3 linked regions of the Struthio camelus genome follow. The protein of the gene in region 2 purifies or fractionates together with the protein of the main gene of each other region. This does not show direct contact. Links are inferred from orthologs where the notes say so. Each region holds a gene or a part of one and is shown on either strand. Other genes may lie near its edges.

What was found.
Region 1: the proteins of LLGL2 (region 2) and PARD6G purify together in Homo sapiens (affinity purification with mass spectrometry; 4 studies listed by BioGRID and IntAct, counting the BioPlex papers as one, with this or other methods). This does not show direct contact. The link is inferred for Struthio camelus from reciprocal best matches to the Homo sapiens genes LLGL2 and PARD6G.
Region 3: the proteins of LLGL2 (region 2) and RAD18 purify together in Homo sapiens (affinity purification with mass spectrometry; 3 studies listed by BioGRID and IntAct, counting the BioPlex papers as one, with this or other methods). This does not show direct contact. The link is inferred for Struthio camelus from reciprocal best matches to the Homo sapiens genes LLGL2 and RAD18.

Annotation. Positions count from the first base shown.
Region 1 is NC_090943.1:94,492,647-94,500,833, forward strand, and holds the start of PARD6G (partitioning defective 6 homolog gamma), read right to left. Parts: upstream 3,129-8,187; 5' UTR 2,888-3,128; coding exon 2,816-2,887; intron 1-2,815. UniProt on the Homo sapiens protein: Adapter protein involved in asymmetrical cell division and cell polarization processes. May play a role in the formation of epithelial tight junctions. The PARD6-PARD3 complex links GTP-bound Rho small GTPases to atypical protein kinase C proteins.
Region 2 is NC_090960.1:8,492,317-8,499,872, reverse strand, and holds the start of LLGL2 (LLGL scribble cell polarity complex component 2), read right to left. Parts: upstream 3,267-7,556; 5' UTR 3,145-3,266; intron 1,007-3,144; exon of another isoform or gene 959-1,006; intron 1-958. Other genes in the region: TSEN54 (tRNA-splicing endonuclease subunit Sen54), read right to left, coding at 6,036-6,186, 7,336-7,452. UniProt on the Homo sapiens protein: Part of a complex with GPSM2/LGN, PRKCI/aPKC and PARD6B/Par-6, which may ensure the correct organization and orientation of bipolar spindles for normal cell division.
Region 3 is NC_090955.1:1,140,399-1,148,513, reverse strand, and holds the start of RAD18 (E3 ubiquitin-protein ligase RAD18), read right to left. Parts: upstream 3,129-8,115; 5' UTR 2,956-3,128; coding exon 2,881-2,955; intron 2,769-2,880; exon of another isoform or gene 2,552-2,768; intron 2,439-2,551; coding exon 2,357-2,438; intron 1-2,356. UniProt on the Homo sapiens protein: E3 ubiquitin-protein ligase involved in postreplication repair of UV-damaged DNA. Postreplication repair functions in gap-filling of a daughter strand on replication of damaged DNA.

The sequences.
Region 1 (8,187 bases), on a different chromosome or scaffold from region 2:
CCACCTGCCCACGGCCTGCCACTTCCCCAACCTTTGAAAAGCCACCTGAGAATCCCTTGATCCCCAGCCAAGAGTATGTTCCAGCTCAGACACTGCGCTGCACCCACCTTCATTCGCCTGGCAGGCTACAGCATTTGAAGATAGATGCAAAATCATGAGTTCTCAGACTCAACTTTCTAGTTCTCAGGCAGGTTTGGACAGGCCTTGTACTTACAAAACAGAGGCAACTAGATGTTTAAAAGGCTGACTACATAAGGCTACCAAAAGCAGCATTACTGAATAGAAGGTATTTAAGTTTTTCCCCTTCCCTCAGCTCCAGACAGTCCAGGCACCATTGGCCAGAGTTTCTCACTGGATCGACTTCCACAATCCAATAACTCCCTCTGAGCAAACCTGTGAGCCTTACGGACAAAAGAAAACCACCTCGCAATTTCGGTAGCAACCTCTCCAACAACTTGATGCACACAAGTCACACTAACAGTAAGCGGACAAAACGACCCACCAGAACCAGGAAATTCAACAGCTGGCCTCCCTTGACCCAAGTTGCACATTAATGGATCATCACTGGGTGTAGGCCCTCCACATGCTATTTAGAGTTCAGCCTCTATTTTAAGTTCCCACCCTACTGAAGCAGTGCTGTTCTATAAAGTAACGTCTGTGCCATTAGCAGTAACTTCCCTGAACTATAGAAGGCCTCCAGTAAACCCCTTCCACCCACACAAGTTTATTTGCAATGGATTTCCTTCTCTCTGCAGGTCTGCAGTCACTCGTTCACACTCGCGATCTACCTAAATGACTTGGTATCTACATGGCTACATAGGATTCACTTAAAAGATTTCTACAGCTATAACAGAGGCTATGTGGTGTTCATTATAAGATTGCTTTTAAATTATTACTAAGAGAACAAATTTTACTTTCTTCCACCTGAATACTGCAGTAAGAGTATGAACTTAAAAGTTCCTGTCTAACTGGGGTCAAGTTTTTACTTTGAAGCTTGCATTGGGTATAAGCCAGTGATGAGAAAACTGGATCTGGAGGATTTGGGGGTCATATCAAATGTTGTGGGGGCGGATTACACCTTAGAACTAGTACAAACCGAACCAAAATTTTCCAGCTGTGTAAGCAAGACGAAAATGTCCCTGGCCTGCTGACCCCCTTCGAACACTCGAGTAGCAATGGGAGGTTAGGAAATGAGAGCTCTCAACCCACGTTTCAGATGTCACCTTCGGAAATGATTGGAGAGTCCCCTGCACGTGAGATAGCCCTCCCACTGAGACAGAGCTATAGGCTGGCTGATCTCAATGCAAATACTAACAGCGGCAGAGGACAGAAACGGAGAGCACTGAACACAAACAAGAGTGCCTGACACCTCAGCTCCAACACTGTGTAAACAGGTAGCCAGTGCACAGTTTCCCAGAACATGCGAATGTTACTCCTTACTTTTTTCCAACCTACTCACTGATCAGACATGTGTATAGAAAGCAGGCTTCCAGGGAGATTTCTGAGTTTTCCCTCAAGCAGGAGGTGTTTTTCCACCTAGGAGAGGTGGACAAGATTTTGATGTGCTGCTTCAAGCAACAGCGACCAGACCGGACCTGTTGGAGAACCCTCAGCAAGACCAACTGTAAAAACAGAGAACTGAAATCATCGTTTAAAAAAGCCGAGCCACAACGCGCAGCTGTGCCCGCGCACGACTGTCCTGTGGTTCGCAACCCCGCTGCTAAAAAAATAAGGGCTTAGGCACAACCTGCTGGCTCCGCCAGGGCAGGCGCGCCCCGTTCCCCTTTGACACCCGGCAGAAGGGACGGGCGAGGGAGAAGCCGCCGGGCCTCGCAGCCGCCACACCACGGCGACGCCACCAGCACCAGCCTGGCCCCGTTTTTCCACCCACTTCCCTGCCCGCTCCCTCGCTCAACTCTACCGGGGCACCTGCGGACTGCCCCCAAGACGGATGGCGGCGGCATCTGGGGAACGGCTCGCCCTCTGAGGCGTTTCGGGCCGAGGACGGTGCCGCCGGGGCGCGACGCGACGCGACGCCGCCAGCAGCGGCGGCCCCGCTCGGGGGCCGGCGGGCCCAGCTGGGCCCCGGCGGCTCCCTCGCTTTCGGCGAGGCGGCGGGGAGCCCCGCTCCTCCCCACCTAACCAAACCGGTTAGAAAATAAGCAGAAAGCGCTAAACGGCTCCGCTCCGGGGCCGCCAAGCGCCCAACCAGGGGGAGCACGGAGCCCGAGCAGCCCGCGGCGGGCCGGGCCGAGCCGAGCCGGGCCGGGCCGGGGACGCGGCGAGCCCCGCCACGGCGGCAGGGCGGGCGGTCCCGCTGCCGCCCCCCTCCCCTCCGCACGCCGCTAGCCGAAAAGCCCCCGCCGAAAAGCCCCCGCCGAAATCCCCCGCTTTTCGGCAAAGCGAAAACAATGGGCGGTTTCGAAACTTGCCCTCCCTCCTCCTCCTCTCCCCCCCCCCCCGCAAAAGTTTGCGCCGAAGTCCTTGCGGCGAAACAAAAGATCGAGCCGGAGCGGCGGGCACGGCGCCCCCGGCGCCCGCCCGCCCCGATCCCGCTCAGCCCCCGGCCCGGCCCCCGCGGGCCGTGCGGGGGGAAGGGGGTCGCGCCGCCCCCGGTCCCGCCGTGGGGGGGGAGGAGGCGGGCGGGGCGGACACACACCGCCGGAGCCCGAGCGAGGCGCCCCGCCAGCTCCTGCCGGCGCGGGCTGCCGCAGCCGAGCGGCGCGGCGGGGGGCTCCGCGCACGGCGGGGAGCGGCGGGGGGACGGAGAGGGACCGAGCCGCCGCCGGCCGAGGCCGCGCCGCGCTCTCCTCACCTTACTCTTCACCTCCACCGCGCTGCACTCCAGGTACCGCAGAGTCTGAGACTTATTGAAACTCCGATTCATTTTCTCGGTCCCCGCTTGCTTCCCCCGCCGCCGCCTCCTTCTCCGCGCCTCGCACACCGAGGGCTGCGAGTCCCCCGCGGGACGCTGCCCTCCGGCGGCCCGGCCCGGCCCCGGCGGCTCCCGCCGCCCCCCGCGAGCGTGTCGCGCCGCGCCGCGCGCGGGGCTGCGGCCACTTTGTCCCGGCGCGCCAATGAGAGCGGCCGCTCCGCTGGGCTCGCGCTCCGGCTCCCAACCGCCGCGCGGCCCCGGCTGGCGGCCCGGCGGGCAGAGCACCGCCTCCTGCGCCCCGCCTCCCGCCACCCCTGCGCCCCGCCCTTCGCCTCGCTCGCCCCGCCCCTTCAGGCCTCTCGCCCCGCCCCCTCGCCTCTCGCCCCGCCCCTCGGCCCTCGCCGGGCCGGCGGTGGCGCGAAGGCGGCGCGGGCCGGTGCGCCCCCTTGCTCGACGTCCCCGACGGCCGCCCACACGCCGCCGTGCAGACCTGAGCGCCCCCTTCTCGCCCCCTTTCTCCCCGTCCCCCCCGGGGCAGGTGGCAACGGCGGCGGCCGCCGCGCCCCACGAGTTCAGGGGGGCGGAAAAGGACATGCTGAGGTGACTTCTGGCATGATCCCACGTGCGCGGCGCGACCCCGAAATCCAACAGCTGGTTTAAACCGAAATCACAGCCACAGCGGAGGCATGATTAGTATTAATTCTGGTTTAGATTTTTAGTTTTGCTTTTTTTTTTTCCCCCCCTCAGGGAAAGTCAGTTCTCAGCAGTTAGTAAGTAATTTAAATCTGTAGTCTTTACGCTAAATGTGGTACTTTCTCCTGGTATCCGTGATGCTCATTTGAGAAATACAGATTAAATTCTTTTGGACTTTTTGTTTTCTTTCAGAAAATGCAAATGCTTCATTACCCTCTCTTTTATATTAATAACGACTTTTAAAGCTAATAATGCCTACCTAGCTGTGGGTAACCGGGAAGAGGATTCAATTAAAATGTTCAAAAAAGAACTAATTTTTTGTTCATACAAAAGTCGCTAAACCATGCTGGATCCGTTCAGAGCAAAGATACGTTTTTCAAAGCGCAAGTCAGAGGTTGATTCACTAGTAGAGCTCGGGGGACTTCCACGCTCCCTGCCCTGTCAACAGCAGCCATCCGAGGTCCTGTTCATATTACCACCACCACAGAAACACGCAGCCCTCTTTTTCCCATCTACCCTGTCCTTGAAGCTAACAGATTTATTAAGCGCACAAATTACTGTATTTCAGGAACGGAACTAATGCTGTTTCCAGTTCTTGTATACTACAGCGTTTTAGAAATAGTAGATCGCTGCCTCTCACTCTGCTTTTTATCCACAGATTAGAGGAGCAGCTTCTCCGCTCTTCAGTTTTTGCCCACTTTTTCAACTTTGAATTAAACACTCATCACAGTAAACAGGGTGACTACACCGATAGGAGGAAATACGGTCTTTACACCGACAAAGAGGCTACTGCTATCAAAGGATCTTTTCCAAGTACTTTAACAAAACTTGGTTTCTGCTGCCTTTTCCCAGTTTATCAGTTTGTCTCTTAAAAAAATCCCATGCGCAAATATGAATATCGTATTTTAAATTATTTTTGTTCAGACTTTAATACACGTTGTCATAATTTCAAGTGTAATGATGTGAAGACTTTTAAAATAAAAATGTGGTTTATTTAAATGGCATCCAATTTGAGTTAAACATCCATTATTTTCTAAATTAAAATAAGCAATTTTTTTCCCACTCTCATCAGGGGAACGATCGGTTTCTGGATAGGTCGTTGGTTAGGCCAAAATGGGCGCACACATGGGCAGAAGGCCTGAGTATGAAAATCTGATTGTATATTGAAATTTGTAGAAAAATACAACAATATTATATAAGTGCATAGCGTTTGTTGGATAAGAAAGTTTCTCAAACAACTGTCACGAAATCCAGTCCGTTTTTGTAGGTTTGTTAAGATACAATTTTTTTTTAACGTTTCCAAATTGCATTTAGATTTGATCTCCTTTCTGCAGAGGAGAGCTGGGGCACATGATTAAGGCAGCTTCAGAAAACTTGTCCTGCTGCTGTCTACTCTTCCCATGTCTATGCTATACCTTAATGAGCAGTGTCTTCATCTCCTTTTACAGCAGGAACAAAAAAATGCTTGTTCTCAGACTGCCCTGGCTCCGTGGTGCAGCAGGCACTGCAGCTCCTACCTGCTGCTTCCCCCTCAAACTCTTGCCATATTTCAGTCACGAAGATGGTTTTAATTTGACCGCTTTTACTCAGGCACCTTTCAGCAATTTTTTCATCATTTGCCAAGGGCGCCACATTCCTCTAACCACTTCTGTAAGTTTTCATCTGTTTCGGTCATCTGTAACTAGTTTTCCTGTTTCTCACCTGCAGAGCTAAGATCGCCGTTTCTTCCGTGGTAGCTGTGTCCCAGCCCTTGCTGACGTGAGCATGGCTGCACTCACGCATCCCTGGCCCAGTCCCTTAGCCCCTTTCTGCCCTCATTTCTTGCCCTAAGTACGGCAGGGATGCTACAGCCCAGAGATCCTATCAGGCCGTACATTTAAATATAAATATTCAAATACTCCTCTGTTTTAAAAGAATTTTGTTCACTGGGGGAATGAAAGGTGCTGCACTCTGTGCCTGATGTACTCCTGCAGTGCTGTTTTCATCAAGCAAGGGACTTACTCTGATTAGCTGCATGCCTCATTAATGTTAACAACAGTCGCCTACATGTTTTGAGAAGTGAAAATTACCGCAGACTCACATCCAAAGATTTATTTTTCCCCTTCGCGCTGAATTTGCAAGGGTTACAAATGATAAGTCCAAATGGCTTGGGGGAGCTGCTGCAATGATGGACTGGTTTGGGTTTCTTTAAATGTAAAATGAAATGAAGCATGGCACAAAGCAGAGAAGAGCGGGGATGATGACTGCTGTTTTGTACGTAGCGAGCAGTGTTCCTGCCGCAGGGATAATAGTTTCTACTTAATCAGCTGCAGAGACCAATGCCAGGGAACACCAGTTGCCCCAGTGCAGGAGACCACCCACCGGCGAGCAGAAGGAGTAATGCCACAGCCACAGGAGCAGCGGGGACATGGGGAGAGAAGACTGCCTGCCCCAGTGTTTTTTCCACTGTCCCTTCCCTTACGCTAAAATGTCTTCTTTCTCTTTCCTTTCAAGAGCTTTTGCCTGCAGGCCTTCCAGAGCTGCATGTTAATTTACTAGGAAAAAGAGCAAAGAGTTTGCTCCCAAGGGGTGGGGAAACCCGACGCTTCTTTACTACCAGGAAGATGAAGCATCAAGGAAACCTCTCGCGTGACTTAACTCTAAAGTAGTCCCAAGATGAGCGGCCAGATCTACGGCTGAGGAAATGGCACCTGCTGAGTTGTACCACAGAGCTCACGAGTGAAAACGGAGATGGACACTTGCTATGACAGCTTCCAGCATTTCCAAAGAGAATGGCTCTGCGCTGCCGAGGACCTTCGCTTTGCTTTACAAGGCGAAATACTGCTGGAGAGAACCAGGCAATAAAACGATGCCAGGAGCAGTATAATTTAGAGCTCGATTTCTTTGTGTTTTACAACAGCGCCTGCTGGGAAAGGAGCAGTGTGAGTGCTCCCAGGCAAGGGCTGTGCGAGCCAGCCTGATGTGTGCCCGCCACCCAGCTGGTGGGGGCAGACGGGGGTCCCAGCAAAGCGGGAGGCAGGCGTCCTGGCCTTGGTGGATTTTCGCACCCCTTTGACTTATCTGGTGGATATTATATAACTGGTTATGTACTTACAGTTATTAGCATGCAAATAATTCAAAAACCAAAGGAGCTGAGAAGCCACAGTCCCAGCAGCTAATCTCCAAATATCATCAGACAGAGACTAGAAATGGGTTACCAAACTGATTGTTCTCTTTCCAAATTACCTCTAAGTGGGGTTAAATGCAACAGCACTTTGCAAGGATGGCAAAGGTTGATTAGCAGAGGCGTGTTTGGGGGTGGGAGGAGGGAGGAGAGGAGATTGTGCTGCGAATTCTGCCTCCAAAGAATGCTCTAGCTCTGTAAATCACTAGGATAAGGCATTGCTCACTAAAGACTGCAAATATTCAGACTACACTTGTTCTGCTGAATTTCAGAATTTTTGCTCCCTTTCAAAGAACTTTGAACATTCCATTGCTTCGATTCTTGGTTTTCCTTTCTTGATTAACAAAAAAAATATGAAAAACAATAATGTCTCCCAAGTGTCATTCATTTCAAGCAGGCAAATAGATCTCATCCTCCGCGGGTTACCTAGAAGTAGATCCTTCTACTTCCATGTGGGATAAAAATTTTGCTTAAAATGTAAATTCTTGTCACTGCAATCAACACAAGCATTAAACAGGGTAGCAGATACACCTCAACAGTGTTGCAAGATTTCCGTCTCCATTGCATGGTTTTGTGGCTTGGTAACAGAGACTAGTTAAAGAAAAAAAAAAGCACAAGTTCTGGCAAGGAGAGCATTTCACACATTGCTGGTATGAATTTTGAACATGCAATGGCCGTGCAGAAGCACTGAGTTAATTTTCAGAAAGCTCTTCAGGTTTCTAGATGAAAGGTGCTGTATAGACAGAAGTTACTCTCAGTGTCAAAACGATGACTGCAAACACTTTAAAATATATTTGACTTAAAGAAAGCGCTAGTGACCACAGGCCTGGTATGTGGGGACTTCTGCCTGATTCTCTTCCCCCCTCGAGATGAAGCTAGCCTTCACTTTGTCCCTCTACAGATGGTCCTACTTCTATGGTAAATTGAAGCATAATAGTAAGTTTGCAAGTGCAGGATCCATCTTCTAATGAGTTCCGTACTGTCAAATGATTTATGCAGCTGACATCATCTCTATCTTCCCATGCATCTTTTCTGTATTAAACTGTAACTTAAATTAGAATGGGTTATTAAAATACAGACAATGATAGTGGAGTTACTTGTTTGCAGTAATTGCTAAGTTTTCTAATGGACTTTAGTGGACTGGATCTTCATTAAGTTAATGAAATGGAAGGAAATTCAGTACTGTTAATTTGTAATGTTAATACGACTATGAGAAAGCTACTATCATGAAGATATAATCATTCCTTTCTTCTTCTTTCTGTGGTCCAAGTGCTTATCTATCTTGTTTGATGACCACTGGAATCTGTCACACTGGGTGTATTCGCTTGCAGATAACCATTTAACTTATAGGAGTGCCATTTACCATCTTCGTTAGCCCAGCTGAAGCTTGGGTTTGGGCAACATGCTAGGAGAGTACAACTTTTGCCCAGCCTAACCCAGTCCCTCACAAAAAAAC
Region 2 (7,556 bases):
GAAGGGCTTCTACCTCCGCATCTGATAATACTTTATTAACTCTGCTAAAATAAAAAGAAGTCTTATCTACAAGCTTTGTTTCAGCTCCAAGCATTTAGCACTCCTATCACAAGCAGTCACCACCATGGCCCTGTGTGAACCAGGCTTTCTGCCCACACCCAGAAGTTTGCCTGGTTCCTATTACCAACACAGTCAACGGTCACAAAACAGTAGCTGCCTCAATCACACAGGGACAAGCTATTCCTTAACACTAACGATCTCTCAACAAAAAGATAACCAAAGCATCATTTAAGTACTAGGGGTCTCAAGTGTGCCAAGTGCAGGAGCCATCAGATCCAGCAGACATGATTCACTGTGAAATGACAAGTTTTAGAACACTTCCAGCTTGAAATCAGTGAAGCAATCCCTAGCTATTTTCTAGCCGGGCTGTCACTGTAAAGTTCACTTCTATAACCTAGCTCAGCCGCACACACTAACAAGACAGATACTAAATAAGAAAGCAGAAGCCAAGCAGAAGAGCTAGAGCAAACGAAGGAACGGTTGCAGCACATTGAAAGCTTGGAAGCGCTAGATACCATCTTCTTCCCCCCAGGATAAAGCTTCTTTTGGAAAGACGTTCCTTCTAAAAACATCAGTAATCTCATAGTTTACTAAGACCAAGCAAAAAGCTCCCTTACATGACATAACTGCTGATCAACTGCTAGCATCTCATCACTCACAGCTTTCCAGAAACAGGACAGCGCTCAGATGCATCTTGCATGCGTTAATTAGGCACTAGCAGAGAAGACAGCTGAAAGATCCTTCCATAAAAAGGATTTATTTTTTGCAAATCTGGAGAGAGAGACATGTAAACAGGCAGTTGAACCAGCTACATCAACACTTTGTGCAGGTGGCCACCCTTAAAAACTGAAGATAGATCCTTCTGATTTCTTAGAAAAGGATCGAGAACCAATCTTACCAATCAGGAAAGTTCATGGACTTCCACAGCTTTGCGTTCAGAGTTACCAGCAACTGCCCACTTGTGATGAATTCGCTAACTGTGCAAACTTATGTGTCATTATGACTCCTATTGTATTCTCCTTGTCATGGGAGCATGACAACATGAAGTTTCAAAATGCTACAGCAGAACAAAGTCTTTGCATTGGACAACGTTATTGCACACAATGCAAAACTCTTTGTAGACTTCTAAATAAGAAGTGTGATTCAAGTGAAAGACAGAATGGCTCATCATCCTGAAAATAACTTCAGGATAGCATTTTTACACCAAAAATAGTGGGGACGTGAAAGCATTTTCTTTCTAAAGCCACACAGAGAAATCCACCTAAAAGAAACCTGTAGGTGAGATTTGGAGTTTCCATACAATTTCTGCACAGAGGTTGAACTTCCAACTACTGCCAGTCCCTCCCTGGATAAAGTATTGTAAAGAAAGATCAGACTAGTAGCAGTATCACAACCTCTTACTGGGATGTAGTAACTGCATTACGCATATACGTTTAAATCCTCTTACCCTTTGACATTTCTCAAGACGCTAGTCAGTCAGGAAAAAACATCTGTCCCACAAGCAATTCCCCAATAATAATCAAATTATTGTACCAGAAAGCAACTGGAAGATACAGGATTATCTCAACCAGTTTAACTCCTCCAGTAATTTTCTTCAGTCAGTAGCAACAGTAGATGCAACTTGTACAAGACCAAAGAGAAGAGATGCTCTTCAACGCCATCCTACAGAGATGTTTAAAAACTCTTCCCCCTTTTAATACCAGAAACTAAACAGAGTCCCTGGAGCAGTTACGTCTAGAAGAGTTCAACAAGCAGCATTGAGCAGGACTAGCGAGCGCTCAGAACTCGCGCAGACCATCTTTGCCCCCGCCGCGGGCCGGGCCGCCTTGCGAGCGCGAGGAACGCGTCAGGACGCACGGAGAAGCCTTGGCCGCGACGTGCCACCGCTTTGCATCCCGCTTGCTAGAGCGCCAGCTTCCCGAATCAAAGATGAAACCAGCAGGCAGCCCGCTTTGGGCCTCCAGCTTCACCAGGGACTTGGTAAAGCAAGACATTCCAGTTGACCGAGGTGCTCTCAGATGACTACAAAGAGCAGCACTGCCATTCAAGTAACAGATTACAACGGACGGCTTTTAATTTTACTATCTCAGTGAAGCTCTCTTCCCATCTTACCTCTATCCTCACGTAAAGCTTTACGCCACTACGCTGCAGAAACAGTCCCTTAAGTTACTTCAACAGCTCCGTGAACAACGTGAAACGGAAACACGCCGAACAGCCTCCGCAGCCACGCCGAAGCCTCACCTCGAGGAGGCGAGGGGCCGCCAACCAGTCTGTCCCCCCGCCGCAGCCGCGGGGCGAAGCCCCCACGACTCCTTTCCCCGTCTTGCTTGGCCCCCTCGCTGGCTGCTAGAAGCAACGCGCCCCCTCGCCCATCTCGCTCGTACGAGTTTGGGGAAAGAAGGGAGAAAAGTGACACCGTATGCTGAGTATCGGATGGGGGATGTGAACAGAGCGTCCCGAAAGGGCGCACAGCCGCTCCCGAGCGCTCTCGGCGCCGGGGCCGGGCGGCAGCAGCGCTGCGAGGGGCCGCGCCGGGCGAGGGGCGGCGGCGGCCGGGGGGATGCGGCCGGCCGGGGGGGGGGGGGGGGGATGCGGCCGCCCCGCTCGCACCGAGCGCCGGGACAGGAAGTCGGGAAGCAAAAGAGCCGCCGCCGGGGCGAAAATCCCAGGATGTAAGAGCTCCCCGGCAACACCGCGCGCTCCGTCCACAGCGAGCGCAATAAACTAAACTCAGTTTAAAAACAAAAAAACAAACGACAACAACAAAAAAAAACGCGTTACGGGAGAGCCAAAGCCGGCTGCACCGGGACGCGGGCGCCACGGCCGGGGCCGCCCCGCCGCCCGCAGGCGGGTGGCCGGAGGAGGGCCCGGGCGCCGCGGCGGAGGAGACCGCCCCAGCGGAGAGGGGACGCGGGGGCGGCGAGCACCTGCCGGCGGCTCCGGGAGCGGCCCCCGCGGAGGGGGGGGGGCCTCCGGCCCCGGCTGCTCGCCACGGACCCACCGGGAGGGCCCCCGTCGGGCACGGCTCGTCACCCCCCGCTCCGCTCCGCTCCACCCCGGAGGCCGAGGCCGAGCCGCGCTCACCTGCGGGGCCTGGAGCCGAGCCGGGCCGCCCCGGCCTCGCTCCGCGCCCGCTGCCGCTGCCCCTCGCCTGCGCGGCGGCGGCGGCGCCGTCCTCCCTCCCTGGGTACCTCCGGGAGGGGTGCGGCGGGGCGGGGCCCCGCATGCAAATCACCTCCCGGGGCGGAGCCTCCCCTCGCTTTCATCCGGCCCCGCCTCTCTGGCACCGTCATGAATAATTCAGCGCTCCGCTCGCTCGGAGCCAATCAGAACGCGGCCACAGCTGCCGCCGTCCTATAGGCAGCCGCGCGCTGTGCCGCGTCACGCCATTCAAGCCGAGCGGCCTCACCGGCGCGCCCCGCGCCGCGGCCCCGGGGCGGCGCGGACGGGAACGGCCGGGAAAGGCGCTTTCCAGCCCGCTCAGGTGTTCGTCAGCGCCAAGGGCCCCACGCAACGTCGAGAAAAGGGGCTCACCCGTCATCGGCTGCAAAAACGAGACAGACTTAACAGCAAGTTGAACCCTTCGCGGGGATCAACCGCTGCGGGGAGCCCGGGTCCTGCGGCAAGGCAACAAGAGCCAGGCTAGGACTGTGCTTATGTGGCAGTGCAACAGCACTGCGAGGTCTGTCAACGTCTCTGCAGCGACACAAAGCTTGAAATTACCTCAGACAAGTTTTCAGTAATGGTCAGTGTTTCAGCCGAGCTTCAAAAGGTGAAATTATTCAATTAAAATACTTTGTCATCTCCTTGCAACATCCAGCTCTTCCACATCGTGGGTCCAAACGAAGCAGCCGTATCAGTCTGCATCACAATCTCATCCCGCGGGGTAAAGGCACCGTCAGATGGTGTGCTGCTGAGCAAGGCAGCCACAGTTTCTCAATCCTCCCTGCCACGGTTATTAAATTGTAATTGTTTTGTGCTGAATCAGGGAGTCTCTGCCCTAGCGAAACTCACTGGGTGGCTCTTGTCCATCGATACAGTTCCACCTTGGCATAAGCAGATGAGGCTCTGATTCAATTCAACAGGAGCGCACGCATTTGACCTAATTCCAGGACAAACGTGAGCCCCATGGGCCGGACTGGAGCTTTTCTGCCTATGCCTGTTCTTAGACACTCACCTCCCACTGCCTTTAATCTGCAAAACAGTCTGGGAGAGCGCTGAGGGATCAGACCAGAACTGCCAACAGCCCTGGCTTTTTAAAGAGGACTATTAGAGTTAAAACACAGCCCCTCCCAGGAGGGAGGAAGAGGAAAAGGAGGGTGTGTGTCAGAGGAGGTATTAAATTAGACCCTCAGCTCAGTGGAGCCCTCATGACTTCCAGCATCTGGTAATACAGGTGTGTGCACGGAACAGGAATAGGTGAAGAGCTTGCAGCAGATCGCTGCCACCCTGGGCTACAACACCTCTGACCATGCACCAGGAAGATGGCAAGGTGGGGGTGTGTGCCGACAGGGACTGCACGCAGAGGTACAGACTCCTCCTGCCTCTGACTCGCGATGCCCTCCTAGGGAACTAAGGCATGGTTGATGGCGAGGCCCGATGAGAACACAAAACCGGTGTAGGAAAGGGGCCATGTAGCCACCTAGTTGTATGACCAGGAGCAGGCATTCAGGAGCTAGTGCTACTGGCGTCCAGACAGCCTCCCCAGAGCATCCCTCTCTGCCTAGTTTCCTCAGAAATGTTAATAAGTTAACACTCAGGAGCTTGCATTGTTGGAAAAGGCTTTTTATTCTTTAGCCTTTGCCTCTTCCCCAACCCCAAAAGGAACTCAAACATTATCAAATAAAATGCATCTAAAACAATTGGTATTACCTTTCTGACGAAAGCTAGATACTGAACGCAGCCCTGCTCAGCATCCTTCTATCCACTGAGCAGGCTTTCTGGCAGCCCTCACTGGTCATTTTTCAGAGAGGCTAAAGCAGATTTGGTACCTGCATATCCTGGCAGAAGGCTCCCATGGTAGGGCCTGGAAAGCCATGATGGGATACTCATCCTCACTTTGGAGCACAAAAGCCACGGGACTGGAAGGCTCATGAGGAATCTGTAGCTTCTTTTTTTGCTCAAGGATCTCTCACTTGCAAAAGAAAAGACAAGGAACTACAGCCAGAAAAAGGGATGTCAACAGACAAAACAGAGAAGGCTGCAGTGCAGCCCTGGTGAGAGAATCAGACACAGTGTGCTGATATTGGTGGCATAATTTTAATAAAATATAATACTGTGTGGCCAAACCACATCTCCGGACAGCCATTACAGCACGAGGCTGGGTGCCATCTGCAATGCTCTGGGGTTTTCTGGGACCTCTGGTTGACAAAACAGCGCACAAAGCCCAGAGTTTCCTGCTCTCAAATATCTAGAAATTTGATTCCTTTGGCTGAGTTTTATGGCTGCGACTTTGTTTTTCACATAAGAATCTGATCCAATGTTCGTTGGCGCAGCTGAATGACAGAAGCTCAGGAGACCACCGCTGACCTGATCAGCTTATTCTGCCCTGGCTGACCTCAATGATTCTCCAACCGTTCAGACTGGCTTAGCACAGTGGTTCTTAACATATGAAAAGAGGGTCACCAGCAAAGTATTTTCTAGCGGTCCACAGGACAGATAGACATGACAGGGAAAAGGCTAGTCGTCCATGAGATCAGAGAGCTGGAGAACCAGTGGCTTCAAGAACAAAGCGGTGTGTATTCCAGTCCAGAAACGCCCGGCTAAGCTGTACACACTGCTTGGCTGCAGTAAATTTGCTTTTATAGATGAGCCACCTCCTGGTTGAACAAAACCAGTTGCAGTGGTGGACTACCAAGTGTAAGAGTTGGTTATCATAAGCTCTATTTTCCATAGTATTTCATTAATCAAGAAAACAAATCCTGAATAAAAGCTCTCCCCTTCATCCCACATCACTTCTGCCCGTGACAGCAACTTCAGTGATTAATATCAACTGGCAGCTTGAATTCCTTTAACGAATAAAAGGCAATTTCTCCATGGTCCACCAGTGCAAAGACCACCGGGACGTCCCCACTCTGGTATGTGACCTGCTTCAAAGCTCGAAGGGATGGAATCTGCTCGTCAAAGCTGTAGAAGGAAAAATAGTTCTCAAAGCACAGAAGAATACATAAACCCAGCTGTTCTGGGAAGTTTTGCTTATCAGAGACAGAACAATAGCTAGACAATTCACAGCAACAAGCCAGGCTGCCCTCAAACTTCACCCAGCTGGGCATCCCTGAAAAACCAGAGCTCACAATGGTCACCCCCTCTGGTCTCATGAGCTGGAACTGACTCTCCCCACACTTCTCAAGCAAAGCGGGAGACTGCCAGCAGTGAGAGCACACCACATGCCAGGAACCAGGAGCTGTCAAATCCTTTGCTGAAAACAAGGGCAACTGTACAGTGCTCCATGCTGTGGCTATTAGATGCAGCTCACAGGGCTACTGGCAAGTTGCCAATCCAATCTAAATACTTTTATATTAGGAAGTTCTTTAGGTTGCTGGGATCGACATCTGACCTCCTTTTAATTCCATTTAAGAATGAACAGACTCTGCAGAAATATTTCTGCAGTAAGGATCATCCTACTAATTCATAACACAGACCTTTGTAAACCTGAATTACCATCTTCCTTCCTCTGTCTCTACTGAAGTTGAGAGTAGAGAAGAGACTGTTTTAGTATATCAAAACTAGAAAAGGCAGAAATTGAACTTTGCATCTACCTATGGAATTTAAGTATCAGATTCTGGATCGGGCAAGAAAGCAGATACCTGCCCCAAAATTACATATGACAAAGATCAAAATACTAAACCCATGGCCCTGAGCCAGTAGTCACCTCTAGGTAGGCACAGCTCTGCATAAATCCACAGGGATCTGCACTGGCTGAGGAGTCACATACCATATGGCTCTCTGCAAAACCGGGCTCTGTGCGAGTTTCACAGGCATTGCATAAATACAGCTGTGGCTGCTTCTTGTTCCCGACTCCAGTAATACCCGCATGAGCAGCAACCAGATGACCAAACAGTGTGGGCTGAGTGCTAGGGCTGGGGGAAGAGTCAGCCACAGACTCCAAGAAAGGAGGAACAGAAAGAAAAGGAAACCTCGGGGCAGGACCACCCTAGAGGCAGTCACTCTGATGATCTGCAAAGCCTCCAAGATCCTGGGTCATTTACAGACCATTAGGATCCCCACATCAGCAACAGGGATATTTCAACAGAAATCATAATGCACTATTGATACCTCCGTACACACATCCTGACATAGGGCTTTCCAGGATTCGTCTTCTTAAACTTGGCCACAGCATCTGCTTGATACACATTGAAGTCTATTGTCATGCCCTCTGTGTCCTCCTGCAGCCTGCAGAAGAGAGAACACATCTGTGTGCTTATGGGATTGACAGGTCACAGGGTATAGCTACAGCAGAGGAAGGAGGGAGCAAAAGCTCTGGAAGCCTGTCTAGT
Region 3 (8,115 bases), on a different chromosome or scaffold from region 2:
CACTAACTCATTATAACGCTTGGCGGCAGCCACGTATTTCAGTATATAGAAAGGAAGAGAATCTCAAAATATTAATTTAATCTGAGAAACAGTTCTGAACGCTTAAATGAAAATGACAGAGTAGAAACATACAAAGCATTGCCAGCAAATAATCCACTCCATTAAGCTTAAACTGAAAGAAGCAAGGTGGAGAGAACAAAGAGGAACAAAACAAGCTTGGCCTCGGGACATTACAAACCTCTGTAACGAACAAGAGTCAAGGATGCCACAATTTACACACCAGGCATCTAGAACTCTAAGTGAACAAGCAACTCTGAAACCTGCTTAGCTAGAAACAGGCTGGCAAGTTCAACAAAGATTTTAAAAAAGAGAAATCCTGAATGACAGGAAAGAGCTCCCTCCAACAGCTGTGGACATTTCTATATGAGTAAGTCAAAGCCCCACTTTCCACACTACTCTTGACACAGGCCAAGACCGCAGAGCTGCGCTCATGCTGAGCTGTGCTTGGACGAAGGCTGCGACTTGGGAAAGCTGCTAATTCACAGGGGGCTGATGCGGTCAGTAGCTCTTCCCATCACCCAGCTCAGTCCCTTGCTGGAGGCCGCTGCAGCGCGCGGATCGGAGACATCCCTCAACCATGTCACAGTCACTGGGTCATTTAAGCCCTTTAGATTCCTCAGGAGGGGCAGCATGTTTTAATACTCCTACTACAAGCGGTAACGAACACCAACCAATAAGAAGCACATCTGGTGGTAATAACCTCTTAAACCACCTCAGCATAAATTGATTCAGTTTGCGAGATGAGTTTAGGATTTAAAAAAAAAAAAAAAGAAAAAAAACAGGAAGGCCCTACTTTTAAGGCCTTAAAGAAATCCTGATTTATTGTAGAAAACTTAGGCTTGTTGCAAATCGGGAAGGAAAAAGTCAAATATATAACCTGTGAAACACAGTAAGATAGACAGTTTCTTATTCAAGTTAAGGGCCATTGAACTGAGCTGTGTCACAGGCAGGCTAGTAACACCAGCTACCGTAAGGAATTTCCAGTGCTTCTTCCACTGTTTTCAGTCGCTTACAGTTTTACCAAGCTAAGCTAAATCTCATTGCCAAACTACAACGTTCTCCTTTTTGTAAGACAGTACTACAGTTTCTGAATGAAACAATCATAGGCATTCATTTTAACATGAGACAGGCAGTGTACTTTCTCCTAATCTGACTTCAGTAAACCGTTTTGTTACCACCTTCCAACAGATTTCAGCCTGAAGCAGACAGTGTGGCATGAAAAATTCTAGCTCATAATACTCAATGCTTTCTGCCATACAGCTCTGAGATTTGCTCCTACCTCAAGATTTTATGAAAGACATTTAAATGAAGGATTTTAGGAATAGATGGGATTTAAGTTAATCCAGACAGTATGTGCATTTGTATCATCATCAGAACAGAGGCTGCACCCAAACTGCTCGTGGAAAAGTTGGTGGCTGCTTCACAGCTCTCATCCAAAAGAGGTCCTCTGCAATATTGCACAGGCAAACTTCTTTGCTGACTAAACTGTGGAGTAGCACTGAAAATTTTGTAAAGGAAATAAAGGATCGATAGCCTCTGCACTACACTCCAGTAAATAATAATTGGTCAAACGATGGCTTGTCTATAAAACCATAGAGGAGAAAGTTTATAAAAGTAAGTTTAGAAAAGAAAGTTTCTTCAGTGGCTTTCTGTCACACAGATAAGGCGCAAGTGGATTTTGTCAACCCGTAATAAAAACCACAAGGCCACTCTCCAGTCCTGTGTTTTCCAGGAAAGATATAGGAGGACAGAGCCATCCACTCAATATTCTATATGCCTTCTTTGGCCTTCTGTTTTCGTCCTAATCTGTCAGCTGAATGACAGATTAGGCATAACTGGAGTCATAAGGCCAAGATGCACTACTATCACAGCCACCCTTATACTCCTTGGAATAAATGGGAAGGTGCAAACTAAACAAAATATAATCTTAAATTATATTAAAAGCCATAGCATAGTGGGAAAAATGAATTCATCACCCATTTAGCAACTTGCCATAAAAAGATCACTTTGACTCCTATTCTAGAGCCATTCATAAGTCTAATTTTTATTAAACCTTGATTTTAATCACCCAAATCAATACAGATTTTTATGTGATCTTCAATAAAATACAGTGTTAATCATGGGACAGCAGGTATAGATTTACAATGAAAAGGAAATAACAGTTCCACGTTCACCTCTATGAACAAAAAATAATAGCAAATTACAAGAGATAGTAGGATGAAATGAGTCAAGAACAGCAAGAAATTTACATAGTACTTTCAGTACAGGAAATCATGCTTCCTTAAATCGTACTTACAGTTATGTGAGCACTGTGGAATGATCATTGCAATATTGAAGTAATCAAAACATATCCCACACCGCAACAAGTCGTCCACCGCCTGAAAGGAAAACACAGGTCACTTAGAGGACTTCTTGCGTGAACCGCGAACGAGCAAACACACACTTCGCACAGCATAAGACCTTGCGCACCACATTCTTAAGCGACACAGACCGAAACGCACCACCCGCAGCCCGCAAGGGTGGAATTTAATGCCCGGCATTACTTATATCCGAAAGAGGTGCCGCGGCAGACCCCTGCAGAGCGAAGCCTCGCCGGGCGCCCGGCTGGGGACGGCGAAGCCTGAGCAGAGCGGAGCCGGCCGCCCTCAGCCCCGGGCCGCGCCGGGCCCAGGCCCTTCCCGCCGCCGGGCGGACACCGCTCCCCTCACGGGCTCCCCTCACGCCTCCCCCCCCGCCATTTTGGCTGCCCCCCTCGGCCCGCGGCCGCCATGTCACCCTCCCCGCGGGGCGCAGGCCCGCCGCCGCTCCGCCCTCACGCGCCTTCAGAGGGGCCAGGCCGGGCGGCCACGGCGGCTCGGGCAGGGGCAGAGGCAGCGCCAGCGCCGCGGCGGCCATAGCGCCCTGGCACGGCACGACACGGCACGGCACGGCCCTGCCGCGGCCGCCGGCGCGTCCAAATCCCCCGCGCTCCGCGCGCCGCGACGTCGGCGCGCTTCCGCCGGGCTGCCGGGAGTTGTAGTCCGCGGGGCGGGGGCGGACTCGGCTTCCCCGCGGCTTCCCGGGCCGCCGCGCGGGCTGCCGGGAGTTGTAGTCCGCGGGGCGGGGGCGGACTCGGCTTCCCCGCGGCTTCCCGGGCCGCCGCGCGGGCTGCTGGGAGTTGTAGTCCGCGGGGCGGGGGCGGACTCAGCCTCCCTGCGGCTTCCCGGGCCGCCGCGCGGGCTGCCGGGAGTTGTAGTCCGCGGGGCGGGGGCGGACTCGGCCCCCCCCGCTGTAGGCGCGAGCGGAGCGTTTAACGGCTGCCTGAGGGGCGGCGGTGCGCGGCGGGGGGGGGGGGGAGCGGCCTGCCCGCGCCTCCGCGCCCGATACGAACCCAAAACTGAGCATTTTTTCCCCCCAACTAGAGCATATTACTCATTTTTCATTTCCTAATGACGTTTAATTCAAAAACTCGTGCTCGGGGAACGTTACAGGCCCTGCGGAGGAGCAGCGCGCGAAGCGCTCGCCGGGCGCCGGGTGGGTTGTCGGGGGCGGCCTGGCGCCGGCGGGAGGCCGATGGCCCTGGGGTGTGCGCGTAGCCCCCCAAAAAAGGCTGCGTTTAAACGGCCTTTGAGGCAAGGCCGGGCCGAAGGCGTCGGCTCGCTTGAACCGACGCGGGCAGAAACCCCCGCACCAGCCAGTGTTCCCTTGTAGTACGCAAGGGACGGACTAAGATCCTGTTCTGAGCCTCAGTAATTCACATTATTTTTATAATAGAGCCCCCATATGACATTTTGCTTTGTAGAAATACTCAATTTGCCATTCAGCTTTCATCACTATTTTGCTTTCAGAGAGAAATGGAAGTGAGCCAAAAATAACATTTGCAGCAGTGTTTTGGGCAGATACAACATGTTTTGGCTGAAAACAAAGAACGGGTGCAGTGGTCAAAACGGTAGATAGACTGTTAGTGCAGGGGTTAGCTGTGTGTAGAGAGAGGGCAGTCCAGCTGGTGCAGAGCTACTGCAGCACAAAGAGTTAGATTTAGAGACACCGCTGACAGCAGGATGGGGGAACCCGGAGAAGAGGCCACGTTAAAAACCAAAACCAAGCCCAGAACCGTCCAGGTGGCACGCTGAGCGTCGGGGCGTTGATGGCAGCGGTCGTGTCTGCGGTAGCGCGGGTAGGAGAAGGTGGTTACCCAACGTGGCTTTCCTTCTCTCCTTCACTGTGACACGATACAATATCCAACTTTTCTCTCCAGGTAGGGAGAAAAGCATGTTGACTGGGGTAAAGGCTAAAATCGAGTTTGGATCTTCTTTATGTCAAAGAGATAGCGGTGTACATGGGGAGCGTACCAGGCGGTTACGCGCGGTCGCAGGGGCGCCTGGGAGATGGAGCTGATTTTGCAGCTGGTCTGACTTTGCTGATCTCAGCAGGACTACGTCAAGGATCTGTTTACTCCACGGATTAATAAACGCTGAATCTGCCAGATGTGGTTTTGTTTCTTCAGCAATGGAGCTATGTCATGCTATCCCTTGTCAACGCTATATCAGCTTCACTGTTTAAAAGCATGTGTTGCAGCAGCAGAGTTAATGGCAACAAGAAGTCAGGATTGTGAATTGATTTGTTTTGCAATCTAATATTGCTGGAACAGTGTGATATAATAACTGAGGAAAGACAGGTGACAGAGTAGGACAGGGGACACACATAAGCGCTAAAATCATGGCACTCATTTCTATGCATGTGTCCTCTTCACTGCACTCTTATGGATGGTTTCTAGATGCCATACAATTCTCAACCACTGTCATAACTGTTCACTCAGGTGAAAAATGAGATGCGGCACTGAGGGATGCTATTAGCTGCTATGATAGTCTTTGTCTGTGTCTTCCAGGGTATATTCATTTAAAAAATAGCTAAAACACTGTCCAAAACATCTGGGGAAATGGTCTCCTACTTAACTTCTCTTTTGCAATTAACCTACTTCATCTCAGCACAGGTAACTTTTTCTGTTTACATTTCTCTGTAGAGGTGTACGTCAGACCTGTGCTATGGGAACAACCTGCTGTATGCGCGTACCTGTCGCGGGGATGGGTTGCTATGGTAACGCACATTATCACCATCGCTTCCATCGGCCACAAAGGCTGAGATTGAGCTGCTTGTTCTCCTCAAAGTGGGCACCGCAAAACCCAGGCTAAAAATAAAAAGCTGCATGGATGGAAAACAAACAAAAAGGGGCAGGTAGCACTGATCATGACTGAGCACTACTGATGCGCTTGCAGAAGGTTTAAAAGTTGTCCAGGAGTTTGGGGAACTTAGTGCATTGCCAAAGCAGTATAGGATAAAATGCCAAAACAAGTCTAAATGACTTTGAATCCTCAGTCCTATCATGCTTTGGAAAAATACTCTGTAAAGTAAGAAAATAAAAATGTGATATATTGACAACAGTTAGCACAGTAGTACCTGTGCTTCCGCAGCTCTATTTCCTTTTAACTTAAAATCTGATTTTATGGAAGTTTTTCCACCAATCTCAACGTGACGCTGTTTGCTGGTGTGATTAATAGCTGTCTGTGTTGGAGAAATATATGGATTTGCTGGCAGAGGTTGCATTTCTACTGTAAATACCAATTATGTCAAAATAGATTTTTTTGCACAGAAAACTTCTGCTTCAATACGCTTGCTTGGAACTGTGCCGTCATCCCTCTGTCTTCCTGCAGTGTATTCATTAGTGTTTATCAATCTTCTTTAAGGTAGCCTGTCAGTTCTGCTACTGACATTTTCAGTAGCAGATTACACTAAATATGGCTCGATGAAAGGAATGACTTTATCTTGGAAACAGTCACACTGAAGCATCTACATTGTCTTATAAAAACGTCCCAGGAAGGGCCACCCTCTTCTTGCTTTTTCTAATAAACATTGGCAATGCAAGGCAGAGTTCAGAAGATGAAATTCCATTTCTGCTAGTACCTACGGTTTTCCAGAGCGAAAATGTGCTTTGCCTTAACAGTGACAAAGCTTCATGCAATCCAAATTTCAAACGCTAAGGCCTAAAGCAAGGTCATGCCAGCTGCCGCTCAAGGAGTGCCCGATGCACAGCGTGCTCAATCAAGATGAGCAGATGCCAGTCCACCAGCAGGCAGCCCAGCATAATCCACTGATAGAGTTCCCTGCGTGCTGCACAGTTATGAATTTTATTACTGATTAAATTTATAGGAGCAAAGGTTTTTCCACATACACATGCAGGTTTAACATTTGTACATTAATCTGCAGAACAGTAATATCTTGCTCTCTGCCCTCCTTCAGCTCACAGGTTGGTTTTGAGCACCTCAGTTTTGCACCTGCCAGTGACTCAATTGTGCTGTTATCTGAAAACCATGCACATGAGTGCCTCATTTTTCCCATAAGACAAGTTTTGCAGTAGTGCAATTTCAACGGACTTGCTCCTGATTCACTCTAATCTGCTTTTTTGGTAAAATAAAGTCAAGCTCCATGAACTGGTACTCAATAATTCTTTTATGTACACACACACACACACACACACACACACACACACACACTTTTTATGTATATATATAGGACACACCATGACCATAGGATGGAGGAGGTCAGAACAAATTATCATAGTAGTCTCTGCTGGGCTTATGCTTTAAATCTCTGAATTTGTATATTTGAATGGTACTAATTACTGCCTGAGATGTGCTAAAAATACGTAGTATTTACAGGATAATTTCATTGCAGTTTAAGTGCTTGTTCTAACATTTTAAGGAATCCATTTCTTCTGCTTTCTCTAAGCTATGAGAAATTGATATATCAGTTTCTTACGGATCTTTTTAAATTTTCTCTTCTTTCTCTTCCCTCATACATTCTTGTTCCAGTTTCACATAGCTTATGAGACAAGCTTATTGGCTAGCGATTAACTGATTCTGCCCAGGAATTGACATAAGGGTTTCATTAGCACAGCAACATGTTTATTCTGTACTTTGGTAGACTGATGAATAGCAAAGGGCAATGTGTTTATTGCTGAGCCACAGCTATGCATGCTGCTACTGAATAAGTAACAAAATATTTCCATGGTAAAACGCCTTATGAAACAACCTAGAAGAAGTGGGGAGCGAGCTGAGGAGCCCTTCAGCTGGGGTATTAATAAAAGCTTCTCCTTTGCCTCGCTGCATGAAAATGCAGCGTTTGGCTCCAAAATGCCTGCTATTCGGTGAAATATTCTTAGAAGTGGCTATGGGTTCTTGGCAAGAGGGGATGGGCAATGTACGGCGACCCTCGTCCCCAGCGACATGGGAACTGCATTTCCGTGGAAAGGCAAGTCAGGACAGCTGTGAGACGGCATTGGGAAGGGAGGAAAGCGCTGGCACGGTCTCTGCTCCCGCCACTGAGAGGGCACCAGGCCTCAGGTGCCCCAGCATTACTGACACCCCTACCACATTCTTCACTGTGATGCAAAATTATCCTGACGGGTAGCGATTGCGTTCCAAGCACTTAATTTGTGAGACACGTTGCCGTGAAGAAACCCGTGCCCTGGGCAGAAGAAACCTTCGCCATCACCAGCAGCTACACCAAGAGCAATAGGGTAAGGGAGCCCAGGTGGCACCTGCTCAGGAGGGGCCGCGGGGACGGCTGTGTGCCCATAAGGCATGGTCCCCAGAGACGGACGCGCATATGCGTTGCTTGGCCGCCAGTCCCTTCCTGCTGGGTCATCGCTGATGGAGGAGGTTGGTTAACTGGAGGCAGAAGAGACGGAGCAGCCTGCCGGGAGCTAGCTGTGGAAGAACGGCAGACACCCCTTCCAGCTCCCTGTCAAACAGCCGTCCTCATCTTAACCTCCAAAATAGCATCTTTATTTTTGTACATTTTTCCTTCTGGAAAAGGCTTTCCCACAGGAGCATTCCCAGTGCAACCCACTGCTCCAGAGAAACGGCCCCGCGAAGCCACTCGCCTCTTGCAGCCCAGCGCAGCTCCCCGGGCTCGGTCGGCCAAAATGCTCCAGTCAGGTTGGGTGGCGCCTGCTTAATGGTGACGAGTCCCAGGGTGCCGACTGACACCCCGAGGCTGTTGAGCGCTGCAGCTGGT